2 linked regions of the Danio rerio genome follow. The protein of the gene in region 2 binds, or shares a complex with, the protein of the main gene of each other region. Links are inferred from orthologs where the notes say so. Each region holds a gene or a part of one and is shown on either strand. Other genes may lie near its edges.

Evidence for each region. The genes of interacting proteins can lie anywhere in the genome.
Region 1: smarcc1a (region 2) and actb2 share a complex: the UniProt entries of both Homo sapiens proteins name them as parts of the BAF complex. The link is inferred for Danio rerio from reciprocal best matches to the Homo sapiens genes SMARCC1 and ACTB.

The regions. Positions count from the first base shown.
Region 1 is NC_133178.1:39,481,025-39,489,158, forward strand, and holds the start of actb2 (actin, cytoplasmic 2), read right to left. Parts: upstream 4,265-8,134; 5' UTR 4,252-4,264; intron 3,027-4,251; 5' UTR 2,937-3,026; intron 1,576-2,936; 5' UTR 1,569-1,575; coding exon 1,446-1,568; intron 1,356-1,445; coding exon 1,116-1,355; intron 828-1,115; coding exon 389-827; intron 304-388; coding exon 122-303; intron 37-121; coding exon 1-36. UniProt on the Homo sapiens protein: Actin is a highly conserved protein that polymerizes to produce filaments that form cross-linked networks in the cytoplasm of cells.
Region 2 is NC_133191.1:46,865,381-46,872,976, reverse strand, and holds part of smarcc1a (SWI/SNF complex subunit SMARCC1), read left to right. Parts: intron 1-343; coding exon 344-415; intron 416-553; coding exon 554-667; intron 668-2,283; coding exon 2,284-2,437; intron 2,438-2,528; coding exon 2,529-2,639; exon of another isoform or gene 2,640-3,546; intron 3,547-3,861; exon of another isoform or gene 3,862-4,134; intron 4,135-4,266; coding exon 4,267-4,326; intron 4,327-4,407; coding exon 4,408-4,666; intron 4,667-5,218; coding exon 5,219-5,380; intron 5,381-7,596. UniProt on the Homo sapiens protein: Involved in transcriptional activation and repression of select genes by chromatin remodeling (alteration of DNA-nucleosome topology).

The DNA of each region.
Region 1 (8,134 bases), on a different chromosome or scaffold from region 2:
CCAGACAGAGTATTTACGCTCAGGTGGGGCAATGATCTGTGGAGAGACGGATGATTAGCACGAGTTGCCACACATGTGGTTCAACTGTGAGGTAAAGGTCAAAGCTTAGACTGCAGCTCACCTTGATCTTCATTGTGCTAGGGGCCAGGGATGTGATCTCCTTCTGCATCCTGTCAGCAATGCCAGGGTACATGGTGGTACCACCAGACAATACAGTGTTGGCATACAGGTCCTTACGGATGTCGACGTCACACTTCATGATGGAGTTGAAGGTGGTCTCGTGGATACCGCAAGATTCCATACCTGCAGAGGAGGAGCAAACATTAGCCAAAGCTCTTCAAAACGACTACACACAGAGAGATATATAAATGTTTGTGAGGAAACCTACCCAAGAAGGATGGCTGGAACAGGGCCTCTGGGCACCTGAACCTCTCATTGCCAATGGTGATGACCTGTCCGTCAGGCAGCTCGTAGCTCTTCTCCAGGGAGGAGGAGGAAGCAGCGGTGCCCATCTCCTGCTCAAAGTCAAGGGCCACATAGCAGAGCTTCTCCTTGATGTCACGGACAATTTCCCTCTCAGCTGTGGTGGTGAAGCTGTAGCCTCTCTCGGTCAGGATCTTCATGAGGTAGTCAGTCAGGTCACGGCCAGCCAAGTCCAGACGGAGGATGGCATGGGGCAGGGCGTAACCCTCGTAGATGGGCACAGTGTGGGTGACACCATCACCAGAGTCCATCACGATACCAGTGGTACGACCGGAGGCATACAGGGACAGCACAGCCTGGATGGCAACGTACATGGCGGGGGTGTTGAAGGTCTCGAACATGATCTGCAAAGAGAGGATGGAGACGTTAACTGGATGTTCAAGTGTCTGCAGCACACAATCCACACTTCCATGCAGGGGTTAGTCAGAAATCCAGAGTAAAGGAACAAAAAGTGCAGAAGGAACTGCAAAACAGGCAGGCAAAGTTTGGATAACCTGCTGAGAAGAGGAGAAACTCAGGAGCTCAGAGGACACAAAGCCTGGAGGAAGTGAACCAATGAACAGGAGAACTTAAAATGAGGAAACGGGACAGACGAGAGGCTTCAGAGAACGGTTTGCAAGACAAAAACCAACCTGTGTCATCTTTTCCCTGTTGGCCTTGGGGTTCAGGGGGGCCTCTGTGAGCAGGACGGGGTGCTCCTCTGGGGCAACACGCAGCTCGTTGTAGAAGGTGTGATGCCAGATCTTCTCCATATCATCCCAGTTGGTGACAATACCGTGCTCGATGGGGTACTTCAGGGTCAGGATACCTCTCTTGCTCTGAGCCTCATCACCAACGTAGCTGTCTTTCTGTCCCATACCAACCATGACACCCTGTAATGCAAGGACACAAGCGTTACATTTTGTGAACTACTTGAGAAAGTTCTCAGTTTGGGTCAGAATCAAACTAATCGGTCTTCTCACCTGATGTCTGGGGCGACCCACGATGGATGGGAAGACAGCACGGGGAGCATCATCTCCAGCGAATCCGGCTTTGCACATACCGGATCCGTTGTCAACAACCAGTGCGGCAATTTCATCATCCATGGCTGAACTGTAAAAGAAAGGGAAACTGTTAGAATTGCACTGCTGCCAGGGAGAGGCGTTTCAGCAAGCATGTGACCATCTGGAGTCAACTTCCTGTTTTGCTCTGCATTCTACAGTCTGACCGCTGGTGGGCGCTAGTGACAGCGCGCGCCTCAGATATGCCAGACAAAGGAAGTCCCTCTGCATTCTCTCATTATTACCATAAAAGGCAATGGTTTGAGCCGCTTTGCGGCTGCCGGCGGTGTGGCACTCAGCCAGAGTCGTAGGGCTCAGTAAAAAGGAACAGATTTCGACATTCATCACACCAGGACCACTCCCTAAATTTTACACAAATGAAGTTTCACATCCTCTTCCACCCTCGCCTGCGATCAATTACACAACCGCATTTCAACGGGTGTCTGCCGCCGGGTGTTACTGCGTCACAGATCTGCAGTCAGTCCACGGACTCCTCGTGAGCGGAGACTTCACACTAAAGCATTTCTGGACGGTCACTCTCAGTCGGTTCAGTTCATAGTCTAGCCTCAAAAATCACCGAGATCCTGAAAAACTGATGGGCTCTGCTTCGACAGTCACAGCGGCTGAAGTGCAGCCAGAGAACTCCGCAGCCGTTATTAAAGTGGACCACACCTCTAAAATTCAAATCTTTCATAGCGGATACAACACTTCACTAACGTTAACGTTAATCTTCAGCTTCATTAAAGACAGAGGGGGCTGCAGGCTACATTTAAATAGAACACATAACAAAAAGAAAATTAACCAAGTTAAAACTAAATGCCAATACCCGTTACTAATAACAAGATCTTCGATCTTATAAAGCACGAATGAGCCGATGTTAGATTGATGGGGTTTACGTTACATCAGATGAGAGCTGGTTAGCCGGCTAGCTAAAGTAGGTCACACCCTGCTGCAGCACTGCCTGCACAAAGAACTTCCCATGCCGGCTATCCATCAAGTGTGCAACATGCTCACCAGCACCCTCAAAACTGTAGTTAAAAATCACATTTATGGCTGTTAAAGAGAGATTAGCCAGAACACAACTTTATATTAAGACTTAACACCCATTTCACACCGGCCTATTCAATGTTCAATGTCGTGCCTACGACTGGTCACGTTAAATTACCGACATTCTCACCTGCCACATCCACTAACGCTACAAAAAAGTTAAGATACAGCCAATATTTATTAAATGTAACATAGATTATCAAAAGAACCACCACTTATAAATCAAACCTAGTAGATAACTACAAAGAGACCGTTATGAACTGTCTAAAGACTTCATCAAATCATATTTATCCATTTACACATTTTACTTAACATTAATAGATAGAAACTATAATTAAACGCTTAAAAACTGTAAAACCAACTCACCTTGGGTTTGGGGGGTTGTCGACTTAAGAGAATGGGTTACAAGCAGATGATATTCCGCACTAGCTGCGTGTGGAGGAGCTCAAAGTGAGGCTGAAAAGCTGGGCGCGCTCTTTTATATGACGGCACATACCCGGCTCTAGCCATAAAAGGTAAACTTTCGGAGCTCTGTGCTCTGATTGGTCCAGCGTCACACACCCGGCTGTCGCGTGCACATTGCTACACTTGCTTCTTGCAACTTGAGAGTGAAAGAAGGGGAAGCTTAACTGGTTAAAGAACAAGGCCATGGCGATTTCCTATAAAACTGGAATTTTTATTTGCAAATTTTAACACAGAATTTTTCGTATTTTTCTGCGACAACGCCAAGACTCAATTAAACTTTTCAAAAAGTCTGTGCAGAGTTACAAGTGGCAGAATGCGTCATAATGATGGATGCCTCCATGATCCTGTGTTGTGTTTTCAATCTAACACAACAGCAGCTCTGTAGGTCATTTACCTCTTGTGTTCACGAAATACCGTAATACAAACAATGGGGGATCTAATGAGTACTTTTCCATGTATAAAATGGACATTTTTTTTATCCAAATTAGGATGACACTACTTGTAGTATGTTGTATGAGCAACTAGCTGGTCTTAGCTCAGTAGTAATGCACTTTAAGAAAGTGCTTTAATAACTTTGAATGAATGGGACCTGCATTCCATGCCACATTGCTTCACTATTTTTGTGTGTACAAGTTACACAATGATGTATAAAGTGAGTGATAGCAGTTACATTTTTGCAAGTGGGCCTACCTCAGGTTTAATGTTCATTAGAAATGTTATATGTCAAGTCTTGATCTTAAATAGTTAAATTTTCTGTTCATAATTTCATGTCGTGTCTATGCAGACATAACATTTCTTTTTAAAGAGGTTTATAAGGATAAATCCTAAGAACATAATTCTCATTAAAAGTAGAAAAAAAAAACACTGAAAGTGTTGGTGATCAGCTACAATAAATAATATTTTGCACACATTTCAGATATTGCCACACTGAATAACAGATAAAGCTGTGCTTGAGCAGCAGTGATCATGATAAACTACATGTGACTTTTTACTGTGTAACTTGGGAGTAATGCACATGGCCTTCAGTGGGAGTTATAAACAAAAACAGCTGATTGTGTTAAAAGTGCTTGCTGATACCAAGGACAATGAGGTGATGTGACTTTTATTTTGTTTTTGGCAAATTCCAAGTATTTTGACAAGACTTTTTACAATTCTGAGCATTTTACCTCTAAAATATGGAAGTTTCTCAGAGTAAACGTTGAGTATAGGTAATGACTAGGCCCACACAGAATCTGTGCGCACAGAAATCTGCAGATTTCCCCAGATCTTTAGCCCATCATTGAGTTTATTTATTGACTTGTGTATTTGGATTTGCTCTTTAGTGTTTGGACTCTCAGCAGTAAAAATTAACTCACACTGAACTAAACTGAACTGAACTTAAACTCTTAAAAAATGGACTGACACAGTTTCAATTTACTATACTAATCCTCTAAGTTAAGCTGCTTTGACACAATCTACATTGTAAAAGCACTCTAGAAATAAAGACAAAGGTGTAAATATATGTTTATTCAGTTTTTAAATACATTTCCGTAATATTATTGACTAATATGAAAGTGTTCATTTGATTACAATATGGTCTGAAAGTAATGTTTTCTGTCTTTTAGAAGATATATTATGTGAGAGACTTGCTTTGTCGACCAAATAATTGGATCTAGGTGGACTTGCATTGTATATATTTATTAAAAGTTAAAAAGGTATTATTTTTTTTTATTTCATATAGTAAGTTTTTAGTTACGATACTCCCGAAAAAATCTCGCATAAATCACAGATTGTTTACAAAATTCTCTGCAGAAAAAGCAAAAAATGTCAGCAGATTCTGTCTGGCCCTAGCTATGACCCAACAGAGCAAACAGAATAAATACAACGAAATTTAATATACAGCATCAGATATAAAAGTGAATGTTTTATAGCTGTTTGTGTATAGAAAAAATGAGAAAAAACAGACATAAACAGCATCATAGTATGAATGTCTAAAAACTTGTTATCTGCAAACTGGATACTCATCAATAAGGTCTCCTCCTTCCATCCCCCAACATCTTTTCAAAGAATGCCAAGCATCCATCCACACCCCCCTTTATAAACACACAGGTTTTTATAAGATAAGCAAATATTTAGCACCAATCTGTGGTTAATGTGATGTAACACACAACAAACAATGCATTCAGCATATCCAGTCAATTCTATTTTTTAACCAACCATGCTTCTCTTTGTAACTTTTGTAGATTGCACAGGGGATCTTGTTACAGCAGATGTGCTTTTGTGAGTCCATAGTTCCCCCGAGGACCACCACCCTTCCCTGATAGCAGCCCACTACAGCCTTCCCATTCATCTCTAAATAAGGTACTGTCCTAATGAACCTCAGCTTTGCCCCATGACATAAGATTTCCAGAGCAATAAAGTGTTGTTGACTGTCAGTGTGATAATGTCATTGTCCTTTAGAATGCCAAAGTCTCTTATCTCAATTCTGATACCAAAGCTCTCCCAGTACACCATTCATGCATAATGATAAGAAACATATTTATGAAGTTGTTCTCAAAGGAACACTTTTTGGGCGTGTCATGCTGCATTTCATAGTTTGTTGTTTGGCACCCACATAAATAAAACAAGTGTGTTTTTGATAATAATAATAATAAGGGATGCACCGATACCAGTATCAGGTTTTGGGTCGATACTTGGTTAAAATATTCTTACTCGTATTGCACATGAAATGCTGAAACCACGCACCAATACCACTCAACAAGATTTCATTACATGGATGTGATTTGTTGTCCTACCTGACATCGATGTCTTGATGTATTAATGAATGTCTGATATATTAATAGCTTAGTCTTTATAAACCATCCGTTTATAAAATACACTTTTAACAAATCTATAGGCTTCTGACGAATAAACCGAATATTCAATATGATCTTTGATCATGTAATGTGTAAAGTTGTGATGGCGCAAGCATAACTTATCCTTTAAATGTCCACGTTTAATCGGTAATCGATACAGGGTTGTCAACAACGTGCGTATATTCTTAGCTTAAAATATCCTTCTGGTAAAGATTTTTGTGTTCATCCTTGCGACAGGCAAGAAATAAAACCTTCTTTCAAATTAATTACATTGAAACCAAATCCAAGAAGTATCAGAATCGGTACTCAGTATTGTCGAGTAACAGAAACTATTATACTTGTACTCATATCGGTTTGTAAAAAAGTGGTATCGGTTTATCTCTAATCATTCATTCATTCATTCATTTTCAACTTAGTCCTTTAATTAACCAGGGGTCACCATAGGGGAATGAACCGCCAACTTATCCTGCATATGTTTTACACAGCAGATGTCCTTCCAGTTGCAACCTAACACTGGGAAACACCTATACACTCTCATTCACACACACACACACACTCACTATGGTCAATTTAGCTTACCCCATTCACCTATACATCATGTCTTTGGACTTGTGAGGGGAAACCAGAGCACCGGGAGGAAACCTACTTGAACAGGGAGAACATGCAAACTCCACACAGAACTGCCAACTGATCCAGCCGGGGCTCTAAACAGCAACCTACTTGCTGTGAGGTAATTGTGCCACCCATCGCGCCACCGTGATGTCCATCCCTAATAATAATAATACAGTTTATTTATAGTGCGCTTTTCTCAGACCCAAAGCGCTACAATGCATACAAGGCAAACAGTAACAAAGCAGAACAATAAAAAAGCTGTAAAAACACCACAATAAGACAATAAAATATGAACAATACAATGTAATTATTAAATTGACAAAAATAATCAACCTAAATTAAGACCAACAGTGAAAAGGTGAGTCTTGAAAAGTTTCTTCAAACTGGAATTCCTGATATTTTTTCTTTCCTTATTTTCTTTTATGTATTTTTTTTTTACCCTCCTTGTCTTGGGAATAGCGGAAGCGAAGCCCTTCATTTGTCCTATAAACAGCAGAAGGACCACCGATTGATTTTAGATTGACTTGTTCTTGGTTGCTTGATGGTGCAGATACTCAGGCTTGAAAGGAAGTCACATATATACTGACAGCTGGCCTCTTAGTCTAGAGATTGGATTAACCCCCTACATTATGACCCAAATGGATTCATATGTGGTTACTCATCGCCTTATATGAGTGTAAATAATTAGATACTTTTCTCTTATGCAATATTATGTGACAAATCATTATTTAAGATACATCATAGTGGGTTTACATTCAAAATGGTGTTACTTCAGCAGACAAAGACATATTTTGTGTCTTCATTTGTATTGTCAAACCACTTGCAACAGGATTTGATACTAATCAAGAAAAAAAAGCCTTGTTCCTCATTTATGTTCCTCAGCAGAACAGTTGTCACCGTGTCCTTTCTTGCCATTGCAAAGCTTCACTTCCTCTTTGCTGTAAAAGCTGGTAGGGGAGGACCGCTAGTCCATTTATGGCTGTTTGCTTGCATGTACAAAATTGTCAACATATTGCTTTGCATACTTGGGTTTGTCACTTGTCATATTTTAGCGGTAGTTCCTGCGAAGATTAACGTTTTGTTATTACATTGAATGATTAGGTTGCAGCTGGGAGGGCATCCATATGCTGGATAAGTTGGCGGTTCATTCCGCTGTGGCTACTTTTGATGAATAAAGGGATTAAGCCAAAGAAAATGAATGAATGATTGAATGATTATTTCTAAACACTTATTCTACTGACAAAAACAGTCAAAAAATATTTTTGTTTTGTGTTTCACAGAAGACAGTCACCAAGGTTTGGAGTGACAAAGTGGAAAACTTGTACATTTTGGGGTGAACTATCTCTTTAAGGCTGCATATGCTTTCAAAATGTGTACATAATGCTCTCTGTATAAGAAAGTTCTGCTCGCTTCAGTGCTGGCTGATCAATAGAGATCAAGGGCTTATTAGCACCCCACTGTGCCCACTGCTAAACAGGGGCTCAATCTCTGCTACTGAGATATAAATAAGTCATGTTGGGATCATTTCAACATGCTGCTCTAGAGATTGCATCAATCATATTCATAATTTGTCAACTCCAAGCGTTACGATTGCATAGTTTTGAACATTTGACACTGATTATAACATTTAATGCATGCTACACATTGAATCCA
Region 2 (7,596 bases):
TATGATTTAACTGACTTTATGATGTAATTCACTATAGTTTAAAATAGTTATTTAAATGGTAAATTACAGTTGGCATTTGAGAAAATGCCATTAAATTTTTTTCTTGGAATTCTATACAACAGAATACTGTAACAAATGGCATCTGATATAATGTGACAAAGTATGTATATTTATATAAATATATAATTTGTACATCTTGGAAAGTGCTTAAAGTGTTTAAATTTAACTCTGGAAAATGTGTAAGAATTCTGAAACTCCCACATGCATTATCTATTAGTTTTATGCATTGTGCAATTGAATTGAGTCATAAAGTTTAATGCATATTAAATGTCCTTTTTTCCAGTATACATGAAATTGAGAGACGTGCCCTGCCAGAGTTCTTCAATGGCAAAAACAAATCGAAGACTCCGGAGATGTACGTTCAACCTTGTACTTCTGTCATGTAGACTAGACTTTTATATAAGATCAACATGCATCATCCTGTTGTGTTTCTTTGTGGTTCTTTAGTTCATGTTTGTTTTGCTGTCTAAATTGCCTTTTCTCTTATTTGTAGTTATCTTGCCTATCGTAACTTCATGATTGACACTTACCGGCTGAATCCTCAGGAGTACCTGACCTCAACCTCCTGCAGGAGGAACCTCACTGGAGATGTCTGTGCGGTCATGAGGTCAGAATTCTCATTTAAATATCTGACTTCATTATAATAATATACAGAGAGTGGGTTCAGTTGGACTTTCAATTTTAGTTGGTGTGGCTATTTCAAGTATGAAAAGACATCAGTAATTTAATGTTGCATTTCCGTCAAGCCATTTAAAGTCCATAGCAAATCAAAAGTTGCTGATGTGGCAATGTGCAAACCATATTTAGCTCAGTGTTGGATATATTAAATAACAAAATCTAAAAATCTGTTTTAATGTTATTTTTTTTACCCTCTCATTGAATTATTAAGTTGTCTATATTAGCACATTCATTGTTGCATATATGTATATCTACATTTGTTTAATAGTTTTAGATTTTTCATTAGTTTTAGCTTTTTTTTTTCAAATTAATTTAGCTTTAATTTCTTTTAGAGATAGATTTACTAGTTTTTATTAGTTTTTATATTTTGAAATTGCTTAGTTTTAGTTTAGTATTTATTAGTTTCACTGTTCTATTTATTAAGTTATTTTTTTATTTTTTTGTAAATTAGGATAATTGTTAGGTGCAAGATTCAAAATCATGAGAGCATAATTGAAAACTCAAACAAGAATAGGCTACATTTTGACACAAGAACCCTACCATCTACCCATTCTCAATAGCCCACAAGATAGCAGCTTGAAGTAAAATATGTGTGCAATGCTGCTTCTGAGGGTAAATGCACAGTAGTGATGGGTGGTCAGTCTTCCCAGACACAGCAGGCTGTCATGTACTGTTTGTGTTCGATTCACCATCTGATGAATCACCCATGCGAGTTATAATTGGTTCAGCTTCTCAAATATAATCTGTGTACTGTTCTAATAACTGAATAACTCTATGTAATGGTTTATTTAAAGTTAGAAAGGGGTATCAGGCATGTTGAAACGCAAGTTGTTTGTGGGTAAGTGCTTAACGTTACTGAAGACTCAAATCATTTCAAATTTCACATTTTACTTAGAAGATCCGGTTAAAAAAAATTTAGCAGATAGATTTACTTCTAAAAGGCTTACAGTATTTATTAAATACATTTACAAAGACGAAATTGAAGAACTTTTCTGCTATAATTTTAGTTAGTTTGATTATACACAATGCAGTTTCAGTTATCGAAAATGTTTCTCAATTCTAGTTTTTGTTTTTTTCATTTGTTTTGGTTAACTATAATAACCTTGCATTGATCTTGCCATGAAATAGCCATAAGTTGCTGTGACAATAAACAAACAAATAGCTAAAAAAAAATACTAAACATTTCCATTATATGTTCATATTCATAGTTACTTGACTCATTAGTATTTAATGTATAATTGAACAAATTTGTCATAAAAAATAATTGTACTTTTGAACAAACTGGAATTTAGTGTGAATATAAAAAGGTAAACTTTGAATTAAATGTTTGTTTACAAGTTTATTTAAACTTGGAATTTGAACAAATAATTGAAATTTACCAAAAATGGTAATGTTTGACAAACTTTTAAAACTGTGCCTGATCTATACCTTAATGAAATAGAGATGAGATAGGATTTTATCTGAATCTTGAGCTTAAAAATCAAATTGTAAATTGTCAATACGGAGCCCTATTGTGCATTTTCATTGTGTTTTTTTTCCTCCCAGAGTGCATGCCTTCTTGGAGCAGTGGGGACTGGTGAACTACCAGGTGGACGCGGAGAGCAGACCTCTCCCTATGGGCCCTCCACCAACCTCACATTTCAATGTTCTGGCTGATACTCCCTCTGGCCTGGTGCCGCTGCACCACCGTCCCCCACAGGTGAGACTGGGGTCACTTCCTTTTTAATTCCCAGAAGGCACGAGGCTTTCTTTTGAATCTGCTACAACAAATTCTCTGCTGTTCCTGCCAGGTTCCCCCTGCTCAGCAGATGCTGAACTTCCCAGAAAAGGGCAAAGACAAGCCAACCGACCTGCAGAACTTTGGCCTCCGTACAGATATTTACTCCAAGAAGAATCTCAAGGCAAGTCGCAATCCCTGTGCCTTCTGCCAAACCCAATACTGCTCGCTCTTCTGTCTTTTATAGTTCCTTGATGTGATTATGTGGAACATTTGTTTCAGGACTCTCTGCTGTTTCTTCCTTTAGTTCGGTTTGTTTAGGCATATAGATGTAGTTTTAATGTTCTATTGCACAGCAGTTGGTTCGAGATGAAAAATTGTTAGATTCAATTAACTAAATTGTAATTCCTGAACCGAAACAAATGTTGCGCAACAAGCAGCAGTGTCTAATACCGCTTTTCCAACAGCATGAACCGGGTGCTAGTTCAGAGCTAGAGCTAGAGGCTCTTGCAGTTTCCGGACTAGTTCATCTGGCGAGCCTTCTATGAACTACTTCGCTTTTCGATAGGCTAGAGTGCCACCTTAAAGCATTGGTTTAAAGTCAGTGAAATACAATTGCAGAAGTGGCAGATATATACATACCATCAATGTTGCATTACCATTTATTTCAATGGATTTGCAGATTCATGTCAACATGTAAACACAGCGAATCCGACGTGTTCGAGGAGTGTGCTGTATTTTGTAGAGAGAGTGATAGTGCGTTTCATCAAGAAATAATAAATGTTCATGCATGTTTTATTTGAGTAGACTGAGATAACAAGTGATAATAACGTTTGGTATCGTGTTCTGCTGCGGTTTAAAAAATGGTGGTTATTGTTTGTCCTGTCGATCACCGTAGCTCTGCCCTCATCCTCTGAACAAGCAATATTTGTTTCTAGCCAAACGATGGTTTGATGCCACTTTAGAATCACTTTGCCTGGTTCGGAGCTTTGGCTGTTGCAACAAAGAACCGATTTTGGACTTGCAGTATGATTCTCAGAGTAAGCACAATAGTTATTGCAAACAGAGTCTCCTCTTATGGGAAGTGCTTTGTATGGGAAGTGCCATGTATGCCTAGATAAAGCCATAAATAAGCCCATGGAGTCATTTTATCAATCCATCTAGACCAGGCGTGGGCAAACTCGGTCTTGGAGGGTATGTGTCCTGCACAGTTTAGCTCCAACCCTAATCAAACACACCTGCTTATAGATTTCTTGTGATCTTAAAGACACTGATTAGCATGTTCAGGTGTGTTTGACTAGTGTTGGAACAAAACTCTGCAGGGACACCGGCCCTCGAGAATCAAGTTTGCCCGTCCCTGATCTAGACGGATAATGCAGAGGCATGTGCAATCTGACCAATATCAGGACCATTGTGGGGGGAGAGTTACTTTTAAAAGTAATGCATTAAAATAACGAGTTACTCCCCAAAAAAGTAACTAGTTGCTTTACTTAATTTATATGGAAAGTACTGTTACATTACATGGAGTTACTTTTGCATTACTTTTTTTTTTTTTTACCTCTCTAAGGCTTTATCTCTTTTAAAACTTTAGTTTTTTTTCTTTTTTGATAGAGAAGCTCTGCAAATAACACACTTTATAACCTTCATTTACCTTAAAGAAACTACCTTAAAAATAATAATAATAATAATTTAGGATAAAGTTATCTTCTGAGAACTTACTGATTTTTAATATTGTCATGAATTCCAAATATTGACATTTAAAGTTTATTTTAAAGCACAATCTAAAAACCCCTTACTCTTTTGCTTTACAGGGTAAAGGAGCTGCAGGTGGCAGAGACTGGACAGAACAAGAAACATTGCTTCTGTTAGAGGTAAGATCAGACTCAACACTTCTTTCACACACCTTTTCATTTTCTTGATATTAATATATATTTTTAAACTGCTTGGTACAGGCTTTGGAAATGTACAAGGATGACTGGAATAAAGTTTCTGAGCATGTGGGCAGTCGTACACAAGATGAGTGCATCTTGCACTTCCTGCGGTTGCCCATAGAGGATCAGTACCTGGAGAGCTCTGACGCTTCGCTAGGCCCTCTTGCCTACCAGCCGATCCCATTCAGTCAATCAGGGAATCCAGTTATGAGCACGGTTGCGTTCCTCGCCTCTGTTGTGGATCCGCGTGTGGCCGCGGCTGCTGCCAAAGCTGCTCTGGGTATGTCCAGTTTGTCCAATATACATCTTTTAAAGTACACATGAAGTCAAAGCAAACCATATTGATTTTGTTAGCTCACATTGCTGGTTTTGTTGTGAGTAATTCATCTGCACATTTCATTATGATAAAAAAGGTTTGTCTGTGTAATCTAAAATTTAAATCTGAGAATGCACTTACTGTTTGATTTTAGTTAAATTGTCAGATTACATCTGTGTGAGGTATTGGGAGTGGCTAGCATACCTAACCACACCCCTCCAACTGTCAGTTTTAACAACCAACATAAATTGTGAGGAGGAGGTGATGTCTGTTGGGTTGTAATGACTCTCCCGAGACCCTTTTACTGATCTTTCTGAATGAAATACCTGCTTTACTACATCCAATCAGCTTGCAGTACAAAAAACTAGTCACACCTACTGTTGGCACATTTATTTAGTTTGTCTGGAAACTGCATCGCAATACAAAAATAAATGGTTGCAACTACAGGTTCATGTGGACTTTAATGATGTGTCTCTACCTGTATTTTAAGAATATATTTCTCTTTATGGATTATAGATGAGTTCTCCCGTGTGCGTGAGGAGGTTCCTGCAGAGCTAGTGGAGGCTCATGTGAAGAAGGTGCAGGAAGCCGCACGCAGCACAGGGAAAGTGGACCCTGCATTTGGCCTGGAGAGCAGTGGCATTGCTGGCACAGCTCCTGAAGAACCCGAGAAGACGGGTAAGAACTTTTATACCAATTCATTAACTGCTCTGATTGGATTAGAGATTTCCATCTTGCCTACACAACGGACTTTACTTCAGCTTTGATGTAAATGCTTGGTGTATGCATACTGACAAATACAGTCGTCAGTGCATGAAATTTGCACTACGCTCTCTGTACTCATGGCCTAGCACAGTGGTTCCCAAATCGTTTTAGTCAAGGATGCATTGGGTTCTGCTAGTGCAGGTCTTGAGATCAGATGAACAATCAAAATATTGAGGTATTCAGCAAAAAATAAATAAAGTTAAGTAAGAATAGTGACTAAGAGGTGCAATGTATAATTATTTCTTGTCAATTAAACATCATGAAAGTACAGTGGCCCAAAGAGCTTAACATGCTGCAATTTAAGAAAACACATGCATTTATGAAAAACATTAGCAAATTGAGAAAGGATCTCCATCCGATAACACACGTGCTGCAAATCCTTACAAAGCAAACTAGTTGTTTTTAAAAACAGACCGGGGGGTTTTAACTTTTTAGGACACATGACACCAATTTCACTTGTGCCTAGCCAAGTTTGCAGAGCCTTGATGGTGTGGTTGAGTCGAACATAGAGTATGTATACGTAGAACACCAATACTTTAATAGATTTTAATACAATTAAGACAATAAGAGTCTAGCGTGTAAACAGCGATTTTTGATGACCTTAATCAGACTTCAAAATTAAACTAAACAGAAATAGAATTAACGTGGAGTATGCATATATTAGTGGCATTATGGAAGTAAACATTGCAGTCAAACTATTACTGTCATGTAGGACTTTTTGCGCATTTTGCGTCAAGATCCTCATACACAGATGTCAGTAAAGTACTGCAGACACGCACATCGCAAAATGCAGAAGTTTTCTTTTCTGTCCATTTGGCGTGCGGTTTTAAATTCCATTGAAACAACACTTCTCCATCAGTCCTTACTCCTTATTTGCATCTAGTACCCCAGTTTGTCACGGGGGCATAAATGAAATGTTCATGAGTGAAACTGGAACTGGCGAACTGAAGTCACCCAAAATTACTGAAATCTCGGCAGGAAACGTGGATACCCTGGTGATGCAACATTTAAAAAGCACTTCACGTAAACACCTTGATTATATTATTGTCTATTAAGACAAATAACTAGATTACTGATGTCCATGTAAACATAGTCAGTAATGTCTTCGAAGTAAGTGAAAGATCCAGAAGGGCATCCTGCTGATTTGATTCTAAAGGGCACTTTTTTTGTCAGAAGGCTCCCTGGCTTTACTTTTATTCACCGTCCTTCATTTTAAAAAGACAAAATGGTCCATTTTAATTTGTATATATTTCACTCAAACAAATTAACTCTACAGGTGCCTGAAAGTCAGCTGTGGAACTAACGTTAATCAGATTCACTCTAGTGAACGCATAAAAATCATCATCATAAATTATTCTAGTGCACGTCTCAACGTCTCCCCACAGGTTGAAAACCCCTCATTTAGACTACATAAATACAAAAGACAAGAGAATTCAGATGTTAAAATAAACAAATAACTTGCCTTTCAAAGATCACCTACAACTTCACTGAGCAATGGTCACGGCACAGCAGTATTCGTCATGTTCTTGGGTCCCCTTAAAAACATTTCCATTGTGTTTCTTTGTTTTTACGAATGTTGTGCGAAAATGCAGCACATTTTCGTTAATTTTTTGCGTTGTAAGAAAATGCAGCACATTTTATTAATTTGTTTGTCATGAGAAAATGTAGTGTCTTTTTTTTATTTTTTTTTTATTTTTTTTTTTATGCATGCATTGTGAGAATTTGCAGCATGTGTGCTGTCAAACGGATGAAGATCTTTTCTTAATTTACTGGTGTTTTTCTTTTTTATTGCATTTGTTTTCTTTAATTGCAGCATGTTACACATTCTCTGCCACCACATGAAAACCATAATGCATTAAATCATGATGTTTTTTTTCCCGTATATTAACAAAGTCATTTCCAAAAAAACAAAAAAGAAAACATTGCGCATTTATGCAGTATGCTTCACAGGTGAGTGGGCTTGACAAACCACCTGTTGAAGCTCAGTCTCTTAAAAAATAAATATATAAATATATACTGACCTATGTAAGCATACTGTAGACTTTGGCCAGAGATGCGTTTAGTCAATAAATATGCTTTTTTTTTGTAGTTTCCATGTTATTTTTGTCCCTTGGTCCCAAGTGGACAAT